Linked DNA regions of Saccharomyces cerevisiae S288C. The gene in region 2 interacts genetically with the main gene of each other region. Each region holds a gene or a part of one and is shown on either strand. Other genes may lie near its edges.

Region 1 (7,396 bases), on a different chromosome or scaffold from region 2:
ATTTCTACTAACCTCTGAATATAAAACCTTTGGGAGCCGAAATAATTAGTGTACGCGACTGTTAATTCCTTAGAAGTAAATAATTTCGCATGAAATGGTTGGTGAATAAGTTTACATTGCGATACAGGTGTAAATTTTTGCAGCGCAAACATATAAAACAACCAACTTACGTTCCCAACATGAATTTCCGGTTTAATGCTTTTGGTTTTTTCTAGTATCGGTGAGTTAGCAGAGTGGCCGATATAACAGTCAATATCAGGAAAAGCTTGGTAAACAGACTTCAGATCGTCAGAAAAACTCAACGGAGTTACTTTGCCGTCCAAATCCTCGATAAATCCTTTCAAAAACCAATACAAAGGTGTGAAAAAGTTTAAATCTGGTGAGATAGCAAAGTGGTGATTTTTGAATAAAGTTTTGTTTGGATGAAGAGTAAGCTGCGATGATGATGTCTGCTTATCGCCAATAACCTCTTCCCATTTTGCGAATAACTGTTCCTCACTGGTGTCCTGCATATCAAGCTCACACAAAGTAGCAAGCTCGCCCTTCAAGGGCTTCGCCATTTTGAAATGATATAATATCCATATTGGATAGACAAATTTCCACTCTCTCAAAGGCTTTTCGGTGTGCTTGTTGGTCGATGAAGAGGAAAAAGAGCCAAATGTCAATTTACTGACCGTTGCTATGATCGGGTCCTGGGGACTTTGAACAATCACATGCGTCGTTCTATTTGAGATGTAATTGACTAAAGTGCCTCCTAATAAATGAAGCAAATCAGAGTATAATATGTATTCACACTTATTAAACGAGCTTTTGGAAATATATACTTGACAGTCTCGGAGCAAATGAAATGGGTTAGGTGAATACATATTTGTCCTCAAATGTCTCTTCGTCTTGACCGAATCCTGGACCCAAGTGTGTGATACCACCGGGATCAAAAGATCGAAATAAACTATCTTATAAAAAGGAAAGTTGATTGTATTACTAATGACAAAATGTACTGTTTGCGGGCCGAATTTGTTCATGAACCAATCTTTATCCGTCTTGACATCTTTCAAATTTTCGTTATAAAGCTCGTATATTTGACAGTTATTGCATGAATTATCCATCAAAAGCTTTCTAGTAGAGTGAGCGATGGGAAGCTCAGCCTCTGCTGCCACTAAAATTAAAAAATTTAGCTGCTCAAACAGAAGTGATGTGCTCATGGATCGTATATTTACCAGTATGCTACCTCCTTGAAATCTTGCCCAATAACCTAATGACTTCCATTGAATATACAATATAGAACATTGTGATGTATTTATTTATTGGCAAAAAATGTGACGCGAAAAACAACATTAGATGAGTGAAAAAGAAAAGTCACATCTGATATAGCTTACCCTGTTAACGCGTGAAAAGTGGGCGGCTAAAACCGAGAAAATACGAAATAGTGTAAAGGTTCAAGAGAATAAACTTCTGGAACAACATTTCTGGAATGGTTCAATAGAAATGTCTGAATTCTTTTGGGATGTACAAAAAATACAAGAGATTTCTAATGTCGAAGAACATTCTGTGGTTAAGTGTGTTACTGTGAATACGAGCAGGTTAATTTCGCAGCTTAACGAGGAGCTACAAGACGAAGAAAGTGGCGTCAATTTTATTGTTACACAGCTGCAATTACTGATAAATAATGTCTATGAGAAAATACAGAAAAGCCCTGGAGTTCCCGCACATCGTTCTCTGATGATAAATTTGAATTTCACGCGCTTGAAATTCTCAATAGCTTATTGGGATATCTTATTGGAGAGGTCACTAGATCTAATAAATGGACCATCGAAAACGGGTGCCCGCTACTTTATTACAGAGGTTACACCAGTAGACAGAAGTCGATATGTTGAAAACAATCAATATTTTCTAGCTTTTAAAGCTAACCAGCGTTTGACACGGAACAGCGTGGATATGGACGAGTTTATTGATTTTGAAATTCTAATCAAGCAAATAATTTTCGACCTCTTCAAAAAAAACGGAATTCCAGATCAAGATTTTGAAGCCATTTTATCAAGGTTTCATAATTTGGAAAGCTTGGTGGTTGCTTTTAATGAATAATAAAAAAAATGTAAGAAAAAAAAAATCAGGTATTGTTGAATTATTATTTACTTATTCTTTATGTACTCGTTTGCTTATTGGTTTAGTGTAGCATTTGGCTATTTTTGGATGACTAGAAAGGCAGATTTTTTTAGTAGAAATACTCCTCATCTTCATCGATTTCTACATCCTCTGAATCGGCAGCAAGGTTGCCTTTAAAGTTCAGTTTCATAGGATTGACTTTCTTTTTCTTTCCGAACATCTTAACTTTGTGCTCATTCAATTTCAATGAGCATGGTGATACCAGCCTGTCAGTCGGTGATGCAAATCTTTGTTGTAGTTGGAGTTTCCTCTTCGGATCCTGTTTTAAAAGATCCCTTTTGAACATTGTCTTTTTTACCAAATTGCTAGTGGTGTGTGACGACTTCAAGTTTGAAGTGCTTTTTTTCCTAAAAATTCGAAAGGCCGCAATCTCCTCCTCTAAATTAGGTATATTCTCTTTATTGGCGTCCTCTCCTGTCTTCGCCGATTCATTGTAATTATTGATGTTATTGTGGTGATGGTAGTTGTCGTTGTTGCTGCTGCTGCTTCTGGTGATTGTGTTTTCTCTGGTAATATCAGTCTTGAGGATGGAAGCCGTGCGTGCTGATTGGTCACTTGCCTTGTTGGACATAAATACGTTTTCTATTGTTCTTACTGTATATGTTATTTTGTTTTCCTACTAGAAGTATTCCAAGATAGTAACTAATCTGAATGAACGTTTGGCTGACCTCCTAAAAACTAGTTTGAAATGGCGCTTTAGACTTCAAAAGGAGGAATTCTCCTCTTGTGGCAGTATTGTTTCATGCTTTTGCTTACAATTTTCATTAGGAGAAAAAAAGGAAAGATGCCCTGTTTACATATTTCCAAATTAGGAAAAGATATTAACCATGGCGAACTGCATTTCAGACCTGCTTTTTTTTTTCTGTAACCCTTTTAAATTAGGGTTTGCAATTTTGGCATTTTTCTTTTTTCCACAATGGGAAGAGGCAATACAATGGGAATCATTGAAATTTCCATAAATGTTGATGAGTCTTTGGCTGAGCAAGTCACATTGAAGTGTTCGCTGCACGGTGAGATACACCCTGTTTAACTTTATTTGTCACCTTTTTGCTGGTATTTTTTAGTCGCTTTTAACCTCGCTTTTTCAAAGACTATCTCCATTCTATTCTTCCCTTTTTCTTTTGTTCATTTGCATTCGCATCGTTATAGACACGGTATGTGGATACTCATATACCTATTTATCATATGGTCCTCACTGCGAACGTGGGTTACTGCTGTTGACTCTACTACGACAGTTGGCGATGATCTGAATGAGACCGTTTCAGCATCTGTCTGGCCGACGATGTCCCCTCAAATGACGGTGGCCTTTAGGTCCCAAAGAGATGTCATGGGAAACTTAACTATAGACCAGCTGCCGTATGTTGGTTTGAATCTACGACGGGTTCTGTTGAACAATGAGACTAGCATGGTAAATGAAGGTAATAATACAAGATTACTGACTTTGTTCAAATCTATGCTATCCTCCGAAGCAAATGCTTTTGTCCTCGACTTGGAACAATATAATAATGATTTGAGAGTGGTAGATACGACATTGTTATTTAGCGACGTTCTAACTGCTTTACAGTCATTCATCTTCAGCACACAAAACAACCTCTATGCGAATATCATTGTACTGTTGCTGAATATATCAGCTCCTGAACTGGATTCCACAGAATACCGCCACCAAAACCAAACTTTGAACACTACTTATATACTGGACAAAAATTTAGGAAATAGTTTCATTTACAAGCCTACGGATTTACAAAGTGATAGAGCAAAGAATAATACCTGGAACATCTACGGAAAATCGTCCATTGACGGTTGGCCCACTCTGGGCTCTGTGCTATATGAACAAAAGAAGAGACTGGTTATAGGTGAGCTGACCGATTTTTTTAATGAAACTACTGCTCCATATATTTTTCCTCATGACGTCTTTCATTATGAGCAGGGGAACTCTACATTAGATTGCCCCTCTACTGTAGAGGGTCTGACTGATTTATCATCTATCCATTGGAGATTCTTAGATTCGCTGTTCAATTCCGTGGACATCAAAGAGTATATTTCGTGTGGTTTATCACCAATAATAAGCAATTCAGCGTACGTCAATAATGTGACGCAGTTAGCAGATATAATTCATGAAGGCAGCGTTTGGTCATGGGATAGTGACCAACCTTCAGTTACTCAGTCAACTTCTAAATCTGGCAGCTCATCCGGGACCTTAGAGGCTTACAATTGCGTTCTCTTGTACTACTTTGCTAACAATGAGACAGTAACATGGCGAGTAGGTAACTGTTACAATTCTAATATTGGGCTCTGTAGATATGAAAATATGGCATTCCGATGGTTGGTGAGATCAAATAAGGCTACGTACTTTGATTTTGATAGTTACCAGGGATCTAAATGTCCCGATCAGTATTCATTTAATATTCCTAGAAGCCCATTGGAGCAGAGATCGTTTATTGCATATATGAGGAATTCCTCCTTCTCTGACACACAAATATGGATAGATTTGAACTCTATATCAGTAAGCAATTGTTGGGTAAGTGGTGGTCCTTATGCTAGTTGCCCATATGAAAAAGTCATTTCTAGGAGAAATTTCGTAACAATGATGGTCCCTGCGTCAGTCTGTTCCTTTGCCCTACTGTGTATTGTCGTTTACTTGAGTGTATTGAGGGTCCCCATTTATGATAATAGAAAAAATTGGAGAAGAGTTATCAATAAAATCTCTAAATCCGAGCTAGAAGGTGTCCCTTCTTAAAAATCACTTTTTTTCTGACACTTTAGAATTTTCTCAAGTTTTACGACATTAAAACTCAAGTAGTGCTTTTTTTCGTTTCATTTATTATTAATTCATATATAGCATTTCTTAAAACAAAACTGTATTATTTATACTTCAAAAGCGCATTTTTGTATTTTACCTAGTAATATTGATACATAACATTTTTTTTTCTAATATCTTTAGGAAAAAAGTACGTAATACAATGATTTCCCCAAGAAGAGGGGTGGGGTTGTAGGTGAAGGAAAACAATTGTGCATTATGCTACTGGTGTTGCATTCTTAATAACACGATGTATCAGTCTCCTCCTCTTGAACATTGGATCAAATAAGAATTCGCCGGTAATTGGCAGATTCAACCCACGTTCTACCACCCACCTATCCACATCATTGTCAATTTTCCACTCAAAATTAGGATCAAATGACCAGCCTGTGGGGGGAATAACATCAGCCAAAGAATCTACTCCCGGTGGGAATTGCTGTGCTCTTCTATACGGATCTTGAGGATCGAAAATTCTATTTGAATATCGGAAAAACTTCCAGTCGTTCGGCAGTAAGGCCTTTTTATATATTTCAAAAATCTCGATGAATTTAGTTTCCGGTTGTTCATCGAATATCATGTTAAGCGCCTGGTGTTCTCTTTTTTTCAAGTTTTTGTATTCTTTTCCCATTGTTCCTGTTTTGAAAAAACTTATTATTTTTGGATGAGCTCTTGGATGCATATATATCAGTAAGCACCAGGCGAATATGCTACATACATAGCTCCAATTCACAAATGGTGATAATATTTTTAAGAAAACAATCAAAAGAAATCCTGTAAAAAAACGTTTAGTGGAGCACTCTTCGTTTTGAAAACTAGAAGACTTACGAAGAAAACTATTGATTGCCTCAATAACATGAAGGGTACCAGAGGTCATGTTTTGCATATCGCGTAAATTAATTAGTACTTTCATTCCTTGTTTCAATTCCCCTGTGTTTTCGGTTCTTTTATCTAATTCTGATATTTCGTCTATTTCTTGATTTCTTGATTCCAAAGTGTCCATAAAAGATTTGGAGAAAAACTGTTGACCGTAGCTGTACTCATTTTTTCCCTCATAGCACACATCATATAACAATGATGATCCGTGATTCCGTTTCAGAGGATATATACTCCTTTGTAAAGGATGTTTACGCACATAGCCAGGAACTACAATACCATAGACAAAGCGGAATATAGGCAAAATTACCAAGTACATTGGATTAAAACATATCAAAGTGAATAATATTAACGACGTCACCGTCCCGGTAGGGTTTCTCCAAGTCAGCAGTCGAACTATGGAGTCCTGGAGTTCAAATATTGAGCCCATTTTCTTAGACAATTTTTTGAAATTACTACCCAATGTAGTTGCTGAAAACACGGGAACCCTTCCTGTGTCTAGATCATGCTCAATGGTGGTTTTGCTACTAAAATGCTCTCTTTCTGGTAGCTTTTCAGGGACCAACCTCGATATTAGTTTATCCAAAAATACATCGATAAAAGGATCTTTTTCACTATTGGAAGTCATAGGTTCTAGAGCTGGCCCTGATTCGGTTTCATCGTCATAATATTCGGGCGCGCCCTCAAAGTGCGCTGAACACTTGAAAACACCATCGCACTCCCTGCACTCTTGCTCTCCATACGAATCATTTACTGAATATTCCGGAGTACTTGATACTTCTGATGAGTGGGCAGTCTTCAGGCGCTCAATGGACGTACTGAATAATGAACCAGCAATTTGTTGGAGTAGTTCCTTTTTGCTAATGCCTTGGCTTGTTGCGGAGGAGGCGGTTAGCGAAGGATGGCTCATCTCAGAATTTCCGCTGGAGGAGCTTCCTGATAGATCTTCTGCTACAGTTGGCGATTTTGATATTGCTGCTTCTGCCTCCAGTATAGAATCCAACACTTTATTGTATTTGCCTGCGAAGTAAGATTTGACAGCGTCTTTACTCGCGCTCCTGCGACTTGAGCTGGTCTCACTCATTTGCTGAAGATATATTATCTCTTTGTCACCCTAAATACCTGCGTTTTTATCTTATTCATTATGGTTCTATCTACTGATGACTCCAATTCGTAGGCATTCGTCATATTTATGTCTATCATGTCACAATAAAAGGGAAGTTCATCGCGGCGGAAATAATAAAAGCCATTCCACTAACCCTAAATAGCCCTTACTTATTTCCTTTTTCTTGAAATTTTCTCAGCCCATTTTATTTCATAGACCTCGTTCAATTATTTAGTAGCCCTGACACGTTTTGAAATTCTTTAAATTTTTTTTTTTTTTTTTTTCGCGAAGCGATAAACTTTTTTGCAGCTCGAAGAGGAAAACTGCTCACCCAAATAGGAAAGTTCATCGAAAAGACAAGGTTTCTTCCGTATTTTTTCTCTTTTTATCTCAATAAGAACTTTTAATAATCAATAACAAACTCATGGTGAAGCTTTTGTGGGGAGCAGGCCTTGTCT
Region 2 (8,862 bases):
GTCCCACTTGGCACATTTTTCACAGAAAGCTGCAGTTTGGACGCCAATTTCCTAAAGGCATCATCTTCACTTGCTTTCTCTACATCATTTGATGTATTTTCATTCATGTAGTCCACTTGTTTGAACCATCTTCTTTGCCATTCCACACCTTTTACGCGTTCTTGTTCTCTCAAGGCTCTTTGCTTATTTTCTAGTTCTTCCTTAGTCTTTTTTATCATACTAATATTTCCTTGTCTGATTGCTTCTGCCACATCCTTCCATGCCCTCCTACTTTCCAGAGGATGTTGTTCTTCGATTGGCTTAACTAATAAATGTTCAGTAGGAGTTTCCGATGAATCGTAAAACTGATGTGAAACTTGCGAGTCTTTTTTTATAATTGTTGAAACACCTGACCATTGGCCAGAGATTAGGTATAGCGCATTTTCTTTATGACTATGCTCTTGTGGGCTTCTGTAAATTCTTGCCTTAAAGGAGTTCTTCTTCCCTGTGAAATACCCCCTTCCTGAAAATTCTATAACACATAACATACCATTTGATGACTGTATGAATGACCTGCCTCCTAATTCAACAAATGGAGAAGCGACTAAAATACCTTCGATATGCAAAGGCGGGGTTGTAATCAGGTAGGTCTCATCTTTAATCTTCAAAATGACATGCCCGTATGGTTTGACCGTTAGCGTCAATGTTTTGGTAAAACCAGTTTTAATTTGATTGTATCCTTGAACAGAAACATCATTTTTTTCATTAAAAATCGAAAATGCTGTCATAGGTGGATGATGTGAAACTTGCTCACTTAAAAGAACCGTTTCACCAAACTCTGGATGCTCATCATTTTTCCACTTTCCAACAAATACCTCACCCAAGAATGGGTTCAAAGGCTTCTTTTCAGAACCCATCGATTCGCTTCTAGAGCAGTATTGAGATCTCAAAGTAGAAATAAACCACCTAACAACCGCCAACATCTGCGCCACTTCCTTTGATTCCACATTTGGGTCAAAGGGACAGTGATCTTTGTAGTTTTCACCATCAATCAACGAAGGCTCCAGAAATAAAGCTGGATGTTCAGCCCAATACTGAGAAAACTCTGTTAAGGAAGTGGGAGAAAGAATAAACGGTGGTGCAGACAAAGACGATAGATCTCCGTTGAACGAACTTATCGATTTCAAAAAAGAAGTCCAAGAAGATGAGCTTGCGTGTTGAGACATTTTCGTTTGTAATCTAGCAGGATACACTTAGATGACTTAGATATATGGAGCTTCAAGTAGGGAAAGAAAGATCGGACTCAGACAGGTTGAAAAGAAGACCCAACTGGATCCGGGACAGCAAAGTACAAAACAAGATAGTTTATAAACCTTCTCTTTTAACGACTGTTTGACGGCATACCTTGCTCTTTTGTTGAATGCAGGGAACGAGGCCAAAACAATGGTTTTTGTTTAAGCGCGTCAAATTCGACAATGGTGATCACAAACGATTGCTATTATTTAACATAGCGACAGGCGTTGTTGAAGAAATACTGCAGGTGAGGCTGAAAGGTCGTTTAGGTGTCAAACGGTTACCCTACGAACAGTTCGCGTCTTGGAGCCCAATAAAAGAAAATGAGGCTTATCAGTTCTATCACTATTTAACATATTAAAAAAAATATACGGGCGGAGAGGTTTCATTTACGATTGTATAGAGTGAATTCGAAGCAATAACCTTTTTCTTCCAGCGAGTAGCGTTGATCACAGTCTGTTTCGGGCAACTCTACTTTAGGGGGAAGAAATTCTTTCAGCTGGGCCGGATCTTGCTCGCTAAATACTTCTTCCAATTTCTTCGCATCAAGGAAAGTGTCCATTGCAGGAGTTGCGTTTTTATCTAATGGATTTATTTTCGTGATGAGCCAATGATCTGTAATGGAGAAGATTTGACTATAAACTTCGCCACCCCCAATCACGTAGATTCTTTCCAGATGCTCCTTAAAATTGCTTTCTAGGTTCATTATTGCGTTTGCCAATGAATTACTTTGGACTATTGATCTCTCTTTATCGTGGACAAAATCGTCCTTGAAGCTTCTCGATATAATGACATTCATTCTATTGGGCAGTGGGCGAAACTTGGGCGGTATGGATTCCCATGTCTTCCTTCCCATTATCAAAGCATTTTTTTTGTTTGGATCTTTCGTCAATGAAGTGACCTGTCTGAAATACTTCATTTCACTGGGCAACCTCCATGGTAGACCTCCACGAAATCCTATCCCCATCTCCGGCTGTAAACATGCCACAATTCCTACAATAGGAATCTTTCCTCCAGCCATGCTCGTAGTTCGTTGCGCTCTTCAATTTCTCTTATTATCATGCAAAGCATAATGTTAACTACAGAAAATAATGAAACGTTTCCCTTTGGCCAGCGATGCCATCTCACGCACGTAAGGATGCAAAGCGATTTTTTTGTTTTCGCATCCGTCGCTCTTGACGAATTTTAGGTGGAGTCATACTATCAAGAACCTATACATTAAGCTAACCAAGACTACATTTAATTATACTTACACACCAACTAATCCAATTTCTTAACTGAAAACCAAACCTTTGGTTTTAAACAATTTAGAAAAGGAAAAAAGTGGTTAACTTGTCAGACTGCCATTTGTACCCACCCATAGAGCCCTATCCCTTCAAAAAAGAAGTACATAGGATGGGTCAAGATCATCGCGCCATAAAATATTGTAATTACTTCCAAAGGAAAAAACTACAAATGCAACGGCAAAGCAAAATTTTTATTCAAAATTATAGATGGCCGAACCGCTAAGGATTGCGGACCAAGCTAATTTAGATTCAATTTCGGTTTCTCACTCTGGGGTACAAAGGTTATGGGACTCATCAACCAAGTTGGATTCAGTGGCTCTTTTGAAGAGTCAAAGAGTGACGATTCCTATAGAAATGATCCTACTGTAGAATGTGTTAGTCAAAAGCTGCTGCAATGGTTGAATTAAATTTTTCAAAAAGCCTGCTCCGAAATGAAAACTCTAGTACCTAAGACTTTTAGATGCTATAGTTTTCAAATCCTGGTTTTTTGTGGGTAAAATGTTTGGGGTATATTACATACTGAAGTACGTCGACACAGATTTTAAGTAGAAACAAGAAGAAAACATAAGAGAAAAGATGTACTAAATCTAATTGACAGCAGAATACAAAGCCTTTATATATGTCTGGTGGGGGAAAGCAAATGAGAAAATTTTCAGGATTTGCCTTCGCCTTAAGGCGCTGTATGTGAAAAGAAAAAAAATCAGGGTTAATAGTAAAAGGTATGTGGGGTATGGGGGGGTGAAAAAATTTTGACGGCCTGTATAAACCCATACAATCAGCCCATACATACTACTGATATTTTTATAAAAAAAGAATCAATATTTTTTTTGAAACGTACGGTATATTGTGAGAAAGCTTTACCGGTAGACGGGCAATCAGAATTTGTTCTGCCTGGAGACCGCTTCTCTTTACACCATCTTCTTCCGGCCAGTGCAACAGAGCGTCACTGCTGGGGGGAACTCTGCCTGGGTACCATGTGCTTTTCCTTCTATGACTTTACCCATCCATGGTGGTTTGTGCTGGCCTCTCCATGCCTCTGCGTGCAGGTGTGACATGTGAAGGGTTCTTGCTTTCAAAGTAACCTCTGTACCGTAGTGAGGCTACCTATGGCTTGCACCAGTTACGCTTAGCACCAGATTTTGAAAAAACGATTATTATAGCAGATAAAGGTCCGAAAACAGTTTCTTTGCTTAAACAACCTTTGCAAAAGTAGAACCAGATAAATCATAGATAAAATGGCTGAATCCCATAGACGTATGTTATGAAATTACTATATGATGAATGTTGCCGTGGAATAGGCTGATTCGAGCTTAGAAGACATTATTGATATTCGATAAAACATGTGTTATAGTTGGGGCCCGCACTTGTTGGACAACTGTTATTAAAGAGTATGAATATATTAAATAGTGCATGGTTTTGCGATGAGAAGAACAGAATGAACAAGTTTCATAGGAAAAAAATTCAAAAGAGAAAGGTATTATAAATGATCAGTTTACCTTCTAGGGAAAGAAGAAGGAGATAACCTACCTGATATGAAATTCCACCAAGTAGTAGGAGGCACCAGGAAATGCATTTTTACATGAAACTGCGCGTGCCAGAAATGTTAAGATAGCGTATATATATGTCATTTGAGGTCGCTTCTGACATAACTGCGTCCCTTTCCATCATGGGCTCAATGAAATGTCGAATTATTTCACTCTGCAACGTGCTCATGAAAGTACAACCTTACTAACAGCTTTATTTATGAATTGACAAATTCTATTCTACTTTTATTTTGATAGTATACGTTAAAGGTAAGCACTTATCCTACCAAAGATCTAAGAGAGTTAACAACCCAAATGTCTCTTTGATTAAGATTGAAGGTGTTGCCACTCCACAAGAAGCTCAATTCTATTTGGGTAAGCGTATCGCCTACGTTTACAGAGCTTCCAAGGAAGTCAGAGGTTCCAAGATTAGAGTTATGTGGGGCAAAGTCACCAGAACTCACGGTAACTCTGGTGTCGTTAGAGCTACCTTTAGAAACAACTTGCCAGCCAAGACTTTCGGTGCCTCTGTCAGAATTTTCTTGTACCCATCTAACATTTAATTAAGTTAAACCAAAACAAAATTATAATTATTGTTATTAATATTGTATAAAATATAAAAAATAAGCATTCATATATATATCCTTATTCTTTTGTTTATATTTTGAGTTCTTACTCCATTTCGTTTCATACAATCTTTTCTGCAGGTAGTGACAGTAAGACTTTTCTTCTTCTTTCTCTACCAGGAACATGCAGTGCGTTAAGCAATATTTGGTGTCCTATCAAAAAGACTGTTAAAATTCAAAAAGAAAATAATATTATCACTCTATAATATAATGTAATTGTCGATATAACTATGTACTGAAAACTCAAACCCTCATGCTCCTTCTTTTGAAAAAATTCAGAACCTTTCTTGCTGTTGAAGTCTGTGCCTCGACATTATTCCCTTCATTCGACAATTCCGATCGATTTTCTTCTCGTAGTGTTGACACCATAACAGAAGCCCGTACAGACCTTCCCGGATTCTCGCTTTCAGCATAGCTAGGTGCGTTGTCTCTTATTCTATTATCATTAATTTTCTTATCGGGATTTGGAACTCTGTCGGAAAGGTTACGTGGTTGCTGCTGAGTTATTTTAATGTTACTTCTATTCGATTGTCCTGATGGATTTCTAGATGAAACAGGAGGTGCATTCCCTTTTGAGGTACGAGATTCAACAGTGGATCTTGAACCATTTAAGGATGAGTACAACGACATGAAGCTGAACCTTTTTTTTTCGTAGATCTTTTTACTATCTTTATCAGAAGAAGCGTCTGATTTATTAGAAGAGTGGCCAACATTCTCCAGCTGAGATTCTACATGATCTTCATCGGTGGAGTTAGTGGGTTCTTTCGTAACTAATATCGTTGAGGTACTCTCTGGGTCGATGCTCTCTCGAGGAAAACCATTTTCAGCTGCTTTATGAGTAAGGTCCTTATTAATTTTGTCGATAACCTCAGTTATGGGTTTGTCACCATGGTTTAAGTCGCCAATAGCATAATGGTAATCTACTGGGGAAGTCTTTGCAGCCGGACCTTCTGATAATAGCATAATGGAATTGTTGGAGATTGTAGCTTTGTTGGTATCGTGTATTGCGTTCAACGGTACCGGGTCTTTGGCATCTGTCAACCTACCATTCGAACCCAACTTATTTACTGGAATATCCGCTAAACTATTATCCGCGGTGTTACGACTGAGTCCAGGATAATATGAAGTTGGCCTAGGTCTACTGCGAGGCACGTGATAATTACCAATACGGTGGAATTCCTCCTGAGTAAAGCTTGTCTGACTAGAATCTTTTACATGCTCAGTAAGCTTTGATGATGGTGCATTCCTTGTTCTTGCAGTTGTGGGGGAGCCAGGGATTGTTACGAGTCCCGCGACCGATGTGTGCTTATTGCCTCTGGATGAGTGTCTAGCTGATACTTGTTCTATTTGGGTCTGGCCGTTGCCCTTCGAATCACGTGTGTACCTGCATGATGCACTAGTACGCTCGCCATTTATATTAGATTCTTTCATGTCATTTTTCGTATCGTTTAACACCACTTTGGAACCAGTAGAGAATGTTGGTGATGCTGGTCTGCTGGTCGCAAGCTGTGGAGACATTCGATGTTGCTCTAGAGTCGACTCTATAATTAAAGAGTTTCTATCCCTACTTTTTGAGTACGAAGATGCTGATGAAGAATAAGTTGAGTGGCGACCAACGTCACCTTTGTTTGGCGGTTTCGGACGTTCCTTCTGTAAGTGTTCATCCCAATAGTTCGGCTGAATGCTCAAAAACGCTTCATGAGGCTTCAACCACACATGCCTTTTTATTGTTTGTAAGTTTATTCTTCTTCTTGGATTGGGTACCAGTATTCGCCTCAGCAAATCTCTTGGAATAGGGGTTATATATTCGGGAAATTTAAGAGGTGTTTGCGTGATGTATTTGTACAGTCTAGCAATATCGTCACCCGTTGGATTTTCATGATCGTCATCCCACGGCAAATATCCAGCGAGCATTGCATAAAGAATAACACCACACGACCAAACATCTGCCTTTCTTGCTTCATATGCCTTGGTACTAACAACTAGTTCTGGTGCTGCATAACAGGGCGAACCACAAGAAGTTTTCATTAATTCGTTATCTTCAAAAAATTCATTCACAAAACCAAAATCCGTGATGACTAAATTTTCGTGCTTATCTAATAATAAATTTTCCAGTTTTAAGTCCCTATGAACAAGTCCTTTGTAGTGCATATAATTGACCCCACTAATTAATTGGGCAAACAATCTGCATGCAGAAGATTCCTTTAATCTCCTCTTACGTTGAATATACTTATAGAATTCTCCCCCAGATACAAACTCTAGCACTATTCCAATGTATTTCGAATTCTGCAGGACCTCTTCTAAATAGATAATGTTAGGATGAGTTAAATGCTTCAGTGCGTTAATTTCGCGGTATATTTTAATTTCTTTATCGGCATCTTTCTTGATTGTATCTCTTCTAATTAATTTGATTGCCACTTGCTTAGGAACCTCGTTCGAGGAGGAAGCCTTGGTCCAACCCAGCTTAACTTTACCAAATTCTCCCTCACCCAAAGTGGAACCGATTATGTATGGTCCGAAGGTAGCATGTTTTCGCTGATTTTTATGTATAGGATGCAAAATCTCATTGTTTCTTTGAAGAGAATGACGGTCCCTATCAGTGACAACGTTGCCACCGTATGTATGGCGTTTAGGTACAGAAGCCATGTATATATATTCAGGTATACGGAATGTCCTGATAGAATATTATGCGATGACTTTACCTGTGAAAAGGTGGCTGGATTTCCTCGAGAAAATAAAAGGTGTTTTACTTGAAAATCACAGTAAGCTCAATAAACAGTGAACTTGCTAAAAAAATATGTACTAAAAAAACAACTAATGCGTTATTGTCTTTTCAAACCGTATATCTTCAGTAGAAGTTTATGCTCTCCCACCGATGCGATTGTTTACAACAGATAATATTTTTCTGCTCACGTTCCTAATGAAACTCGCCGTCATTGTTTACAAAAAAATAAAAATGGAATTGACCAGTCCTCAAGAAACAAAAGTGTCTTCTTTAAAATGTATACGAAAGTACTAAAAATTTGTCACCCTTGTATATTATATGCCTTTCATTAACCCATATAACACCAGTTTTTACAGTATAAAAGCATGTTTTGAGATTTATTTCTTTATATTTTCATTAGTTTACAAATATATACAAGTAAACGTAGTAAATAAAACTAAACCAGGCAGAGAAAGAAAAAAGGCACATATAGATAAAGTCGTAGGTAGTAATAATTCTTCATCAAGGTTAGTTCTCTTCGCCCTTAACAATTCCGACTTTTGCTGGTCTGATAACTCTGTCATTCAAGGTGAAACCTAATTGTTGTACATGGAAAACAGTACCCGGTTCCTTATCAGGTTGTGGCAACTCGAACGTTGCTTCGTGTTTATTTGGATCAAATGGTTCTCCCAATGGGTCTAATTTTTCAATACCGTGCTTTCTTAGGGTGTTTTCAAAAACATCTCTTGTCATTCTAACCCCTGTATACAAATCACTAATTTCCTTGGACTTTTGTAAGTCTTCCTCTTTAAAAGCATTCAAAGCATGACCAAAGTTATCTACAGATTCCAATAAATCCTTTGCAAACTTCTGTAAAGCAAAGTCCTTAGCTTTCTGAATATCCTTCTTTGTGACTTGTTGTAAATTTCTGAAATCTGCCACAGATCTTAATAATCTGTCCTTGAGTTCAGAAGCTTCTTTAGTCTTCGCGCTTAACTGGCTCTCTAATTTCTTGATTTCTGATTGCTCTTCAGTCAAATCTTCATTGTTTTCTTTGGATTCTTCACTTTTGGCTTCATCAGAATAAAATCTCATTCTTCTCATTGAGCCTACATTCTTTGTAAATGATGGAGTCACAAAAGGAGTTCTTGGTGCCATTGGGATGAACGACTTCCTAGTTGTGGCCCTAACGGTGGCTGCTGAAAAAGCTCTCATTTTCAAATATTCAACTTACTCTTCCACAATATGTCCTTGTACTTTGGATCTAAAGCGGCACTTGGAAACTTATTATTGTTTTCAAATGCTTACGGTAATACCACGGTATATTGTTCTGGTTCAGCTGCAGCAGGCGTTATGTATAACTCATGGGAGTTACGTTTGCTTCAAACGTAAACTCGCTGGAAATTGCGTTGCGAGGTATTAAAATATCACTGAATACGTATGCCAAATAC
Region 3 (5,384 bases), on a different chromosome or scaffold from region 2:
GTTCAAAAGAAACTGATCATGTCATCGATTAAAAGTAAAAGTATGCACATCAGCCTCGTGACAGATGAGGATCTCATGTCAAAAACCGCCAAGAAGCATGCATTATTGAATTTGAAACGTGGTAGATTATTAAGTATATGTCTATGTAATATTAAGTAAGACAAGGGCATTCACTTTACATGCAAATGCATTTGGAACCCTTGACCGAAAAAAAAAAAACAGGTTAACCGCAAAATACATGATCTTCCTTTATTAGAAGAACCGTTTGGCTTTAGTTAAAAATTGATGCTTTTCAGTGGAATGACGATCTTCGTTTACCTGACGCTCTTCATTTTCATCAACCTCATTTAGCAAGACTTCAGGGTCCACGTGCAAGTCTCGAATAACCTTTTCGGTCGCATCTTCCATATCCATCATACCATAAATTGCAATTGTGATAATACCAAGAATACCGGCAAAGCAGGAGAATGTCATGGCAATAATACCTTTTTTGGTAAAACCGGTAGGAATGAAGGCATGCTGAACATTTTCACCAGTTAAATCAGTTAAATCCAGTGTATTGGCAGCGGCGTTACCTTCAGTGGCCACAGAGCAACTCTGGCAAACTTCTAAGTGGTTTTCACTGAGTTGTTGAGAATGAGCATCTTGGATACCAAAAGGATCCTCCACGAGAACAAGACCCAAACCTTGCAACAAATGCCATTCGATATGACAATGGAAGAACCAAACACCTGGGTTATCGGCTTTAAACCTGATGACGAAATTGGATTGTGGTCTAACGTATAAAGTATCTCTTCTCATTGGGTATTCTGGGAAGGCAGGGTGGTTGTCCGGATCGAAACTGTGAGGAACTTCACCTAGGGCATCATCATATGTACGATCTCTCTGGATGGTTTGGAAAGCGTGACCATGTAAATGGAAAGGATGGGTACCTGTGTCCTGGTTATTTAGCACAATCTCCACGATTTCATCCTTCTCTAGGATGAAAGTGTGCGTGTTTGAACCGTAGATTTCGGAGTTGTTTGCTTGATCACCTGAAGACAAAACGGTCATCAAAGTAGGAACTTTTGGTGCAGTATAGGTGATATTATTGAAGAAGGCGTAATTCACACCGTTTTTCAAGTTATCCATAACAACGTCAACGGTAATCACATGATCTGGCTCGCCATAGATGGCTTCTTTCTCGTACGGTTGCAAGTAGAAATCGTCCAAGAAGTTATCAATTGAATCCACGTAATTTTGTGTGGGCAGCGCAGCGGTTTTGTTGTAGACCATATAAGAGGTTGCATTCAGCTGTAAATCACTTGGAATGACATCCAACATGGTGTCATCAAATTTCTGCATGATGGCGAAATTTTTGTCCGTGTCGTTTTTAGTGTGAACCAGGACTGTATATCTCTGAGCGACAGTGATGTAAAGCATATCCGTTACGTTCTTCTCGGTAGTGATACCGTCGATTTCGACCACGGTCATTTCGTGGTCCTCGATCCAAAAGTACTGCGAAACGAACCCACCCACGTTGACAATTCTCAAAAGATACGTCGTATCGGGCTGGACTTCCCATGTCAGATTCATCGTGTTGTTAACAATCAAGTTCTGTGGGATGGGCTCAGCACCTGTCGGATTATAAACACTCATGAACGACTTCGTCAAGTCCGTGACCAAGTCGTGGTACCACTCACTAAGCGATAAAGAAAGTTCCTCATCGTAATCGTAGGGGAAGCTATCATCCTTGATGATGAAAAGACCTTTCATCCCGTCTTCATATTGACCGTCCGTGTGTGAATGGTACCAGTAGGTGCCTACATTGTAGTCCACCGTGAAATTGTAAAGCATAGTACTGCCTGGCGCAATTGGACATTGCGTCAAGAAGGGCACACCGTCCATAGAGGCGGTTCCGTTTTGGAAGAGACCGTGGAAATGCATAGAAGTATTGGTGTTGTTCATTCCGTTGGTCAAGTAAATCTGCACACGGTCACCTTTGTTGACCGTTATATCTGGCCATGGGAACTGGCCATTACAGGTGATCACGGGACGGCTCTTTAGCCCATCAACGTTCCTGTAGTCCCAGCCAGTGGTCCAATTAAACGTGTGCGTCTCCGCTTGTGCTAGCGAGAGCATCGAGAAAAGCAAAACGGCTATAGAGAGCAAAGCGTTAGTCATCTAGTTCTAATTTTTTGCTACTCTTCCTTACACTGGGGTCCTCTTCGTTTCCTATGCCTATCCATCGCTTATAGAACAAGAGCTATAGGGCATGGCCTGCTTACATACATATATATATATATATATATATATATATAATCGCACTACATGCACGAGGCCTTGGCATACTCCCTCGAAGGATCGACTGTTTGAGTGCATCCTTCATTTTCTGTCGCAATTGGCGAGAATAAGAGCACCTGCAAATGGGTGCACTTTTGAAGATGGGCCTTGCCTGTTGGGCCTGCCTAAGTCAGCCTCGCCTAGCTCTAGGCGGAGGGTCTTTATCGGCGACTCAGCGTACTGTAGGGACCACCCCAGGCGCAACGGGCTGATTCGCACCCGGAAAGTAAAGCTTATTTCTGTCGGACGGAGAGTGTCCTTTTTCTCTCGCAGAAGACCATTTATTGGTCCTGAAACGGTATGAACATGTTATTATTCCTGTAACCGTGAAATAGGCAAGCCAAGGCATTATCGCAAAGAAGGCAGCACAGATTCTCGTATCTGTTATTCTTTTCTATTTTTCCTTTTTACAGCAGTAATGTCTCACACAGAAACACAGACTCAGCAGTCACACTTCGGTGTGGACTTCCTTATGGGCGGCGTTTCTGCTGCCATTGCGAAGACGGGTGCCGCTCCCATTGAACGGGTGAAACTGTTGATGCAGAATCAAGAAGAGATGCTTAAACAGGGCTCGTTGGATACACGGTACAAGGGAATTTTAGATTGCTTCAAGAGGACTGCGACTCATGAAGGTATTGTGTCGTTCTGGAGGGGTAACACCGCCAATGTTCTCCGGTATTTCCCCACGCAGGCGCTGAATTTTGCCTTCAAAGACAAAATTAAGTCGTTGTTGAGTTACGACAGAGAGCGCGATGGGTATGCCAAGTGGTTTGCTGGAAATCTTTTCTCTGGTGGAGCGGCTGGTGGTTTGTCGCTTCTATTTGTATATTCCTTGGACTACGCAAGGACGCGGCTTGCAGCGGATGCTAGGGGTTCTAAGTCAACCTCGCAAAGACAGTTTAATGGATTGCTAGACGTGTATAAGAAGACACTGAAAACGGACGGGTTGTTGGGTCTGTACCGTGGGTTTGTGCCCTCAGTTCTGGGTATCATTGTCTACAGAGGTCTGTACTTTGGCTTGTACGATTCTTTCAAGCCTGTGCTGTTGACGGGGGCTCTAGAGGGGTCCTTTGTTGCCTCTTTCCTATTAGGTTGGGTCATTACCATGGGTGCTTCCACTGCGTCGTATCCCTTGGATACGGTAAGAAGAAGGATGATGATGACTTCGGGCCAGACCATCAAGTACGACGGTGCTCTGGACTGTTTGAGAAAGATTGTTCAGAAAGAGGGCGCGTATTCCTTGTTCAAGGGCTGTGGTGCCAACATATTTAGAGGAGTCGCTGCAGCTGGTGTCATCTCATTGTACGATCAGTTGCAACTCATAATGTTTGGCAAAAAATTCAAGTGAAAAAAAAAGAAAACAACAAACGAATAAAATCTAAAAATTCTACATATTCTTGCTATTTATTTACATATTCATTCTTGCTACATACCTGTCTTATGCTATAATGACACTGGAGGTCTTCTTTCTTCTTTGAATTTATGTCCTGACAATTCAGTAAACGCCGTGCGGAAGGGAACCGTTTACGTACGCCAAGCTAAACATTGAAAAAAAAAAAAAAAAAAATGATAATAATAGTAATAATAGTAACGACGTAAAGGTAAAAGAAACAACAGACTTTTAAACTTGTTAACTTTTGCATGACCTCAATTGAAGATCTGATATCAAATCCTCCCCTGCTACTGCATTCCTCACTCTCTCAACTTCGCTACCTCATACTCAGTGAAGGGCTTCCCATATCTGAAGATAAACAGCAGCAGCGCACGCGATGTTACGTGTGGACGGTGCTCTCTCAAACTTCTATGGAGGCGTCTACACAACGGTACCTTGCGCTCTTGAAACTGGGCCCACCTTCCACAACCATTTACCAAAAAATCAAGAACGACACATCCAGAACTTTTCAGACGGATCCAAACTTTAGAAATAGAGTCTCAGAGGATGCCCTCATCCGGTGTCTGTCGTGCTTTGCTTGGCAAACACAACAAAGAAGACAAAAGACTCGTTTTGGTCGCATTCCTGTGAGCACATATGTGCAGGGCATGAACGTGTTATTAGCTCCTCTGCTTTACTCATGTCCTTCTGAACCTATGGCGTATCAACTTTTCACTAAGCTTTGTTATGAAATGATACCGACGTATCTAACTAAGAACCTAAACGGCGCCCAGAACGGCGCCAAACTACTAGATATTTCTCTCAGAATCATTGATCCAAAGCTGAGTAAATTTCTATCGGACAATTTACTTACAGCAGAGATTTATGGTATGCCTTCCATACTCACGTTATCCAGCTGCAATAAACCGCTTGATCAGGTCATTAAACTGTGGGATTTCATGTTTGCATATGGATTCCATATGAATATTCTCTTTGTGGTGGCATTCCTAGTTAAAATGAGATCCAAGGTTTTCAAATCGGATTCCCCTGTTAATTTACTACGACAGTTTCCGGATTTTGATGCTGACGAGATCATTCGGCTGGGCGTCGGGTTCATCGCTAAGATCCCTGCTCAAATTTATGACCTATTGGTAGACCACTTGACCGACCCAGACATATATATACCGTAAACTATGTGAAGAAATATTATATTTTATCGTTTAATTCTACAACGTTTATATGTCTGTATGTGTAAAAAAAAATAAAACGAAAAAAGCAGTGGGTAGATGAGAAAATTTACAGTAATTTAAGGTTATTATTCTATTATTGCACGAAATGAAAATGGCTCGTACGCATATCCTTCACCTTCAAAAAATTTGGACATTGCCTCCACCCAATGCAAACGTAGCGCATGCAACATTGCGGAAGTACCTTCCATGAAAACTAGGATACAAACGGTTAAAACAAACCACATAGCAAATAAGAAAACCACCTTCATGACAGCCAAAGGCGACCCTGAGTTTTTAGAACTGAAAGCGTTTGAAATTGTCATATCCCATAAAACACTAGATAATTGCGCATGCGCCAACGATAGTGCCCAAAGACGTAGATATGATGCTGTATGAGAGATACAATTTAAACAGAATTCAATAGTATGGATTACCTGATGAATCATGACATCGCCGAAATT
Region 4 (8,647 bases), on a different chromosome or scaffold from region 2:
TAGAAGAGGCACTATTTCGAATGACCATCACAAGCATTATAATCTTCAAACATGTCCGAGCTGCAGATATGAAGTAAAATAGTGATCGGGACTCATTTTTTTTTCTTCTATGATATCATATTGTCCCGTTCGTTATTAAATGTAATTCTTCCACCGTACTAGTTATCGAAGGCAAGATCTCCTTTTTACGCTTAGGTAGATTACATAGATTTCATAATGTACACCAATACAAATGTATCTTATACACTCGTCAAATCTTATATGAATCATGCAGGAGTAGCTCTCGTTTTCTTTTTACGAGCTACTTGAAAAAAAAAAACTAGCGAAAATCCTTTGCTTAGAAATCCAGATTTAAAACAAAACCGCCGAAAAGGGAAAGATTTTATGATAGGAAATACCTTAATAATTCTATATCATCCCGAGTCTTAGGAAAATGATTAGATCTGTGAGAAGGGTTTTCATTTACGTCTCAATATTCGTATTGATAATAGTTTTGAAAAGAACATTAAGTGGCACAGATCAAACGTCAATGAAACAACCAGTGGTGGTCATTGGCTCTGGTTTGGCAGGCTTAACCACAAGTAATCGTCTCATTAGTAAATACAGAATTCCTGTTGTGCTTTTGGATAAGGCGGCTTCTATTGGTGGGAATTCTATAAAGGCTTCTAGTGGTATTAATGGTGCTCACACAGACACTCAACAAAATTTAAAGGTAATGGACACTCCCGAATTGTTTTTGAAAGATACTTTGCATTCGGCTAAAGGCAGAGGGGTTCCATCACTGATGGATAAGTTGACTAAGGAATCCAAGAGTGCTATCAGGTGGTTGCAAACAGAATTCGATTTGAAATTAGACCTCCTTGCGCAATTGGGCGGTCACTCTGTTCCAAGGACCCATAGATCTTCTGGCAAATTACCACCAGGTTTTGAAATCGTGCAAGCGTTATCAAAAAAACTAAAGGATATCTCTTCCAAAGATTCCAATCTCGTGCAGATTATGCTAAACAGTGAAGTAGTGGATATCGAGCTTGATAATCAAGGTCATGTTACTGGTGTAGTATATATGGACGAGAACGGAAACCGTAAAATCATGAAGTCACACCATGTCGTGTTTTGCTCAGGTGGATTTGGTTACTCTAAGGAAATGTTGAAAGAGTACTCACCAAATTTGATTCACTTGCCAACTACTAATGGCAAACAGACTACAGGTGATGGTCAAAAAATCCTTTCAAAGTTGGGTGCCGAATTGATTGATATGGATCAAGTGCAGGTACACCCTACCGGCTTCATTGATCCAAATGACCGTGAAAATAACTGGAAGTTTTTGGCTGCAGAGGCATTGAGGGGTTTAGGCGGCATCTTATTGCATCCCACCACTGGAAGAAGGTTTACAAATGAATTGAGCACCAGAGATACAGTAACCATGGAAATACAGTCTAAATGTCCGAAAAATGATAATAGAGCACTTTTGGTAATGAGCGACAAAGTCTACGAGAACTATACGAATAACATAAACTTTTATATGTCCAAAAACTTAATCAAAAAAGTGTCAATCAACGATCTGATCCGACAATATGACCTACAAACTACAGCTTCTGAACTGGTAACTGAACTGAAGAGCTATTCCGATGTTAATACTAAGGATACGTTTGATAGGCCATTGATTATCAATGCCTTTGATAAAGATATTTCGACTGAATCAACTGTTTATGTTGGGGAAGTTACACCAGTTGTTCATTTCACAATGGGTGGTGTGAAAATTAATGAGAAATCTCAGGTAATTAAGAAAAATTCGGAAAGCGTTCTATCTAATGGGATATTTGCTGCTGGTGAAGTTTCGGGTGGTGTTCATGGAGCCAACAGATTGGGTGGATCTAGTTTGTTAGAGTGTGTTGTCTTTGGAAAGACAGCTGCGGATAACATAGCAAAATTGTACTGAGAATTTATAGGGAAATAAAAGATATTTTTGCAACGTACTTTACATTTCAATAATTAATGCGACATGATAGGATATACTGTTTGCTATTTCTTTCCGTAACGATATACGATTTTTTCTTTTCTTTGGAGTTCCAAATGAAGAATATATCTTGTTGGGAAAAGCTATAGTATTAGGTTTACAGAATATGGTAGAGGTTTCTCCCCGACGATATAGGAATCTACAAGAGAGAGCATGATTCTACACGATAATACTGCAATTTCTTCTTTGCGTTGAAGTGTCACCATTGCCTATCCTTTTACATTATCAATGTCAATGTTCCCTCTTCTAACAAACTGAATGACTTTTCTACACGATTCATATTATCTTCTTGCGCAGTAAATTATGTTAACGTAATAGTAGGGTCTCTTGTGCTTCATTATTTTGTAACTGTACACATAATTGACACGTTTAACAATTAGTGAGCGCAAGTGGTTTAGTGGTAAAATCCAACGTTGCCATCGTTGGGCCCCCGGTTCGATTCCGGGCTTGCGCAGTTTCTTTTCTTTTTTTCTGGAAAATAAGAAAACTTATTTATGGAAGCAAAAATGGAATAAAGGATTGGGACGAAGTTAGTGAAAAAAAACTGAAATAGTCCTAGAGTAACTCCGAAGTGTCTTTGTATAAGCTATTATCTAGAAATCACGAGAGGGGAAGAAATGTATCGCAGTAGAAACCGACCAAAAAGAGGTGGAGAAAATGAAGTTAAGGGACCAAATTCTGCCTTGACTCAATTTTTAAGAGAAGAAGGGATCAGTGCTGAAAATATCAAACAAAAATGGTACCAGCGACAGTCGAAGAAGCAAGAAGATGCAACAGACGAAAAAAAAGGTAAAGCGGAGGATGATAGCTTTACTGCCGAGATATCTCGAGTAGTTGAAGATGAAGAAATTGATGAAATTGGAACAGGTAGTGGTACCGAGACAGAAAGAGCTCAGGTTTCCTACGATGCCAGGATGAAATTAGTCCCTGCTGATAGTGATGAAGAAGAATATGAAACTAGCCACATTTCTGACACGCCAGTCAGTTTAAGTTCGGCTAATGACCGGGAATCATTGACTAAAAAAAGGCAAAATACTGCAAAAATTATCCAAAATCGTCGCAGAAAGCGTAAAAGAGCAGCTGACCTATTGGATAGACGCGTCAACAAAGTATCCAGCTTACAAAGTCTTTGTATTACGAAAATTAGTGAAAATATATCCAAGTGGCAAAAAGAGGCTGATGAATCATCAAAGTTGGTATTTAACAAATTGAGAGATGTCCTTGGTGGCGTATCAACCGCTAATTTGAATAATTTGGCAAAAGCACTATCGAAGAATAGGGCCCTGAATGATCATACTCTGCAACTTTTCTTGAAGACAGATCTAAAAAGGTTAACTTTCAGCGATTGTTCTAAAATTTCATTTGATGGTTACAAAACGCTAGCCATTTTTTCGCCACACCTAACCGAATTATCCCTACAAATGTGTGGGCAGTTGAACCATGAATCATTGCTTTACATTGCTGAAAAGCTTCCGAACTTGAAATCACTGAATTTAGATGGACCATTTCTGATCAACGAGGACACATGGGAGAAGTTCTTTGTAATAATGAAAGGTAGATTAGAAGAGTTCCACATTTCTAATACGCACCGCTTCACCGACAAATCATTATCTAATTTATTGATCAACTGCGGTTCTACCTTGGTATCCTTAGGGTTATCCAGACTAGATTCTATATCAAATTACGCTTTATTACCGCAGTACCTAGTCAACGACGAATTTCACAGTCTCTGTATTGAATATCCATTCAATGAAGAGGATGTTAACGATGAGATCATCATAAATCTGCTAGGTCAAATCGGGCGCACGTTACGTAAATTGGTTTTGAATGGCTGTATTGACTTGACAGATTCAATGATAATCAATGGTCTGACTGCATTCATTCCTGAGAAATGTCCATTGGAGGTATTGAGCTTGGAAGAATCAGATCAGATCACTACAGATTCACTGTCGTACTTTTTCAGCAAAGTAGAACTGAATAATTTGATTGAATGCAGCTTTAGAAGATGTCTACAATTGGGCGATATGGCAATTATAGAGCTATTGCTTAACGGAGCAAGAGATAGTCTGAGAAGCTTAAATCTCAATTCATTAAAAGAGCTAACTAAGGAGGCATTTGTGGCGTTAGCCTGTCCTAATCTGACGTATCTTGATCTTGGTTTTGTACGTTGTGTTGATGACTCGGTGATTCAAATGTTGGGTGAGCAAAATCCGAATTTAACTGTAATTGATGTTTTCGGAGACAATTTGGTTACTGAAAAGGCCACAATGAGGCCTGGACTTACGTTGATAGGGAGACAGAGTGACAGTATATAATAAAATAAAGACATATAAAACGTGTATTAGATAGAAAACGGAAAATTGACTAATGTTTTTATTCCTATTATACTCAGATCGTCAAATGTTGCCTTTATTTTCTATTGAAGGGATTTTATGGCATCTCGCGAATAATAAACAAACAATAATAGTAAAAAAAAAAGTGTAAACTTATGTATTCAGCGCAGATAAAAGGAAAAAAACGAGAAGTTTGACGTAAAGAAAAAAGTTCGAAAACTTTTGTAGCAGTTGAAAGTTTTGTATGCTATGTCAATTAGGCCTCTCACGTTAAACGGTTTAGATGAGCCAGAAACCTCTTTTGAAGAACTGAATACAACTCTACCTCGCTTTCAATCCCATGAAACATTAACTTTGGAAGAAAACGTGCCACCATTGAGTACATCAACTTATATACCGCCTCCATCCTCGGTAGGTACTTCTGACACTGGCACGGTATTTTCCAATAGTACCAGCGCGTTTTGGTCTAATAAGCAAGCAGACGATGATCAGGACATGGAGGTAGACCAGGATGATGAATTTCTAAATGACTTCCAGGAATTCCAAAATAAAAAGGATGATTTTGACGATGCTATTAAAACAAATTTTCATTTGAGAAATGGATGTCGAACTGGCCCTTTCAAAAACGACATTTTCGCAGAAGAGTTTGATAGAAAACTGAGTTTGGAAGATAAACCAAGGCTAAAGCAACCTAGATCAATGATGGAATTGAAACCAAAAAGAAAACTATCAAATAGCGTCACTTCAAGAAACTTAAGGTCTGGTAATTCTGTAAGATTTAAGAAATCTATGCCTAACTTAGCTTTAGTTAATCCAGCTATCAGAGAAGAAGAAGAGGACGAAGAACGAGAAAGAGAAGATCAACGAGAGTTTAATTACAAGATTGATAACGATACGCAGGACACAATTTTGGCGAAATTCAGTTCAGATGATGAAGGTGACTTTCTGACAGGATTTGAAGAATTAGAGGGTGAAGCAATTGATGAAACGATTTCTTCGAACGATAAAGAAAGTGCCGACCATCCGCGTTTCTTAAAGAAGTCATCCTCATCTTTGCCATTAAAAATATCACCTGCACAATATGATATAGTAAAGCATGACGAATTATTAACTCCAGGTCTTCATAGGCGACAACGAGATTGGAATACCCAGCAGGAACTGGACTCTTTTAAAGAAAAACGATCAGTAAGACACTGTTCTAATCAAAATGTACAACTCAATGGTCCAGCTAAAATCAAAACAATAAAACAGCAAATTGATCATAATACTCCAATGAAGAAAGGTTCTATGATATATAACCCGAAAACTATGAAGTGGGAAGGAAATGAAAACGTCTTAAGCAAATTTAGTGATGTAGACACGGCAAACAGGAAAGCTTTATTGATAAAAAACAAGCTACAACGAGATGCAGATTCTAAGAAGCAAAAATATTCTGATCTACAGCATGCAAGAGCCACTTCGAGAAATCAAAAGGTCATCGGGAACATGATTTTAGATGAACAAAATTTAAGATGGGTTAGTGTTTCAGAGGAAGAAGCAGACCCTTTTGCAGGCATTCCTGAGATAAACTTACCACCAGTTGGCAAAAGTATGAAAAAACGTAGCTCCTCACCATTTTTGCGTTCCAAAAGCCAAGTTAATACGCCATTTGTTTCAAATGACAATGATGGCGTTTATCAAAGTACGGCTGCTCAAGCAAGACTCCGTAAATACCATTCAATGAGGACACTTAACGGTACAACAGAAACTCCAGAAATAAGCTCTACTTTCCATTTGAGTTCAAGAGCATTGGAAAAATTTTACCACGAGGAGAACAGGTGGTGTAAAAAGTTAGCCTCATGGTTTATACCCCGAGATGAGACCATTATCAGTGTTGATGAGGAAACAATCATGGATGAAAGTACGGTCAATAGCAAGAGAAAATCCTATATGTATGAAATCAGGAACATGGTAATCAATTCGACAAAAGATTAGCCCTTTAGCCTTCTTATAACTGTTTCTTTACCGTTATCTTGAGTACATTCATTTCTCTTACATTCCAAAATTAGATAGAACCTTGAATCGTGTCAACTTTTCGCCGACATTTCGCGTCTGACAGAAAAAGAAATGTTGCAGAAAATTCGAATAGATGTTTCAAATGAAAATAGACCATGAGGGACACATTAACATTTCAAACAAAAGAGCCCTTGATGATTATTAAAACAGATCTTTATGGTTTGTTTAGCAAACACTTTGGTAATTTCATGAATATTTGACTAGCAGGAACAGAAAATCAAAAATGTTTAACCATGATTGGAAGTACTCCATTAATTCTAAGACTTTCGCCGATTTAAACATTGAATTATTTCGAAACCACAAGTTCAAAACTGTTTTAAATTACATAATAGGTGTAGTTGGGTGGAATGGATTAAAACTCGCCCTTTTTGTTTCTGACATTTACACATGTATCAAATTGCTGGCATTCAACTCCTGGTCAAACAACATCATCAAACCATACTTACCCTTTAAAATATCCAAATGGTTGTTTAGCGGTTGTATTTTAGCATCGATTGTGCTATTGATATGGGAGGCTATAGCGGGAATGAGGATTTACAAAACGGGAAATATCTCTTTGACTTATGTCAACAATTTTTCCAGAAACCTAAATTCAGTGCTCAATTATTCCAAGTTTTGTGTTTATAATATGATCGAACGAAAGGGTTTTCGACAGAAAATGACATTTTTTACTTTTTTTCAACTGAAAGATTGTATTAGATTAATCTTCACGGATACCCCAAGGCAAGTTATTAATGGTCTTACGCTGTGGTCAGTTCTCGTAACAGTAAATAAAAACGAGGATCTAGGCGATCTGGAATCATTTACCGGTTTGATCAACAAAATAAAGAACATTGGCCAGACCAATCATGAAGAAGCAGTGATATTGTCGCTGATGCTATTTTCCTTTATAATCTGGGCATTATTTGTCTTCAAGTTTCTGCTTGCTGTCATTTGCTCGATTTTTGTTTATTATAAAATAATCAATGATCAGGAATATAGCGGGTTGCGTGAGTACATTTGTGTTACCGTCAGCGAAAATGTTGATGAACTTGTTGAAAGACAAAGGAAAAAGGAAAATGATGACACGATTTATAAGACAGGTCTTCTCGAATCTCAGACTTTTGACGATTTTAAAGAAGTTGAAAATAAAATTGAAACATCTTTTAATGATACGTCATATGCTTCTAATAATGATTCTATGATTGAGCTAATAGAGAGAAGACCCGAATACAAAAGTCAGGATGTATGTGGGCCCATTCCCACAATGAAGAAAACGGAAACAATGGAATCGTTCGTTGACAATGGCAATCCACAATATACCACTAGATTCTCTGCGATTCTAGATTCACCATATATCAACAGCTATGAAAGTAATGATATAAAGAAAGCAAAAATACAAAGCAGAAGCGTAAATACTCCAAAATATGAGGATTTGTCTTCTTCTGACATTTTCAACAAAATACACTCTGCTGGACAATTAAAATCTACAACTTCTATGGAGTTTCACGGGCCATTAGATTCTATGCCAAATACAACAAACAACATCCGTAATTTTAATAGCAACAGTAGTAGACCTAGACCACCTCCTTTACAGACAAAAAGTTCGATTAATTCAAAAGCTGACTCGAATGATAATGGAAGGATTTATACACCAATGAAAGCGTACTTCAGGGAGCCTGATCTTCCGAGGAAGGGTTTGCTGGAAGATGAAGATCGTACATATAATTATACTTAATAGGCTGGCAAAAGCCCTTTGCATATTTCATGAATTAGATAGACGTGATTAGAAACAGCCGTTAGTATGTTTCTGATAAAAATAATACTTTTTTTGTAACACTATTTTCATATATTGGATTGATACCGGTTATAGCACAAACATAACAGCCATGAAAGTTTCTTTGAAAACCCCTTTTAACATTTGCTTGTAAGAGATAGGTTAATTTTTTATAGTTGCTGAGATTCCATTGTTGGTAAAGACTTAATATTAGGTATACAGAATATACTAGGAGTTCTCTCTGGGTATGTAGGAATCCACAAAAGGGTGTCACTAGTTCAACATAATAACATCTTTTTTTTATTCCTTCTTTGATATTTTGTCATATTATCCTATTATTTTATCAATCCTTGCATTTCAGCTTCCAATAGATTTGATATTTGTTTCTCAATATTATGTCATCTTCATACACAGTATGTGATAATATACTAGTAACATGAATACTACTAAATGAGTACTACCTTAGGGGTTCATTACAGCAGCTTA

What was found.
Region 1: of KIN4 (region 2) and SPO12, changing one suppresses a phenotype caused by changing the other (phenotypic suppression), as found in Saccharomyces cerevisiae (4 studies listed by BioGRID, with this or other methods).
Region 3: of KIN4 (region 2) and BUB2, a mutation in one rescues a mutant of the other (synthetic rescue), as found in Saccharomyces cerevisiae (9 studies listed by BioGRID, with this or other methods).
Region 4: of KIN4 (region 2) and BFA1, a mutation in one rescues a mutant of the other (synthetic rescue), as found in Saccharomyces cerevisiae (9 studies listed by BioGRID).

Annotation. Positions count from the first base shown.
Region 1 is NC_001140.6:396,772-404,167, reverse strand, and holds SPO12 (Spo12p), read right to left. Parts: upstream 2,735-7,396; coding exon 2,213-2,734; downstream 1-2,212. Other genes in the region: RTT107 (Rtt107p), read right to left, coding at 1-1,202; SPO16 (Spo16p), read left to right, coding at 1,486-2,082; MTC6 (Mtc6p), read left to right, coding at 3,320-4,900; PEX28 (Pex28p), read right to left, coding at 5,178-6,917. UniProt on the Saccharomyces cerevisiae protein: It is required for meiosis I chromosome division during sporulation. A component of the FEAR (CDC14 early anaphase release) network which promotes CDC14 release from the nucleolus during early anaphase.
Region 2 is NC_001147.6:774,337-783,198, reverse strand, and holds KIN4 (putative serine/threonine protein kinase KIN4), read right to left. Parts: upstream 7,354-8,862; coding exon 4,951-7,353; downstream 1-4,950. Other genes in the region: oxysterol-binding protein related protein HES1, read right to left, coding at 1-1,205; DFR1 (dihydrofolate reductase), read right to left, coding at 1,658-2,293; IRC13 (Irc13p), read right to left, coding at 3,015-3,329; 60S ribosomal protein eL33 RPL33B, read left to right, coding at 3,794-3,812, 4,340-4,644; mitochondrial nucleotide exchange factor MGE1, read right to left, coding at 7,940-8,626. UniProt on the Saccharomyces cerevisiae protein: This protein is probably a serine/threonine protein kinase.
Region 3 is NC_001145.3:385,601-390,984, reverse strand, and holds BUB2 (Bub2p), read left to right. Parts: upstream 1-3,963; coding exon 3,964-4,884; downstream 4,885-5,384. Other genes in the region: ferroxidase FET3, read right to left, coding at 253-2,163; ADP/ATP carrier protein AAC1, read left to right, coding at 2,741-3,670; STV1 (H(+)-transporting V0 sector ATPase subunit a), read right to left, coding at 5,010-5,384. UniProt on the Saccharomyces cerevisiae protein: Part of a checkpoint which monitors spindle integrity and prevents premature exit from mitosis. This cell-cycle arrest depends upon inhibition of the GTP-binding protein TEM1 by the BFA1/BUB2 complex.
Region 4 is NC_001142.9:529,428-538,074, forward strand, and holds BFA1 (Bfa1p), read left to right. Parts: upstream 1-4,599; coding exon 4,600-6,324; downstream 6,325-8,647. Other genes in the region: OSM1 (fumarate reductase), read left to right, coding at 434-1,939; UV-damaged DNA-binding protein RAD7, read left to right, coding at 2,635-4,332; KCH1 (Kch1p), read left to right, coding at 6,629-8,122. UniProt on the Saccharomyces cerevisiae protein: Part of a checkpoint which monitors spindle integrity and prevents premature exit from mitosis. This cell-cycle arrest depends upon inhibition of the G-protein TEM1 by the BFA1/BUB2 complex.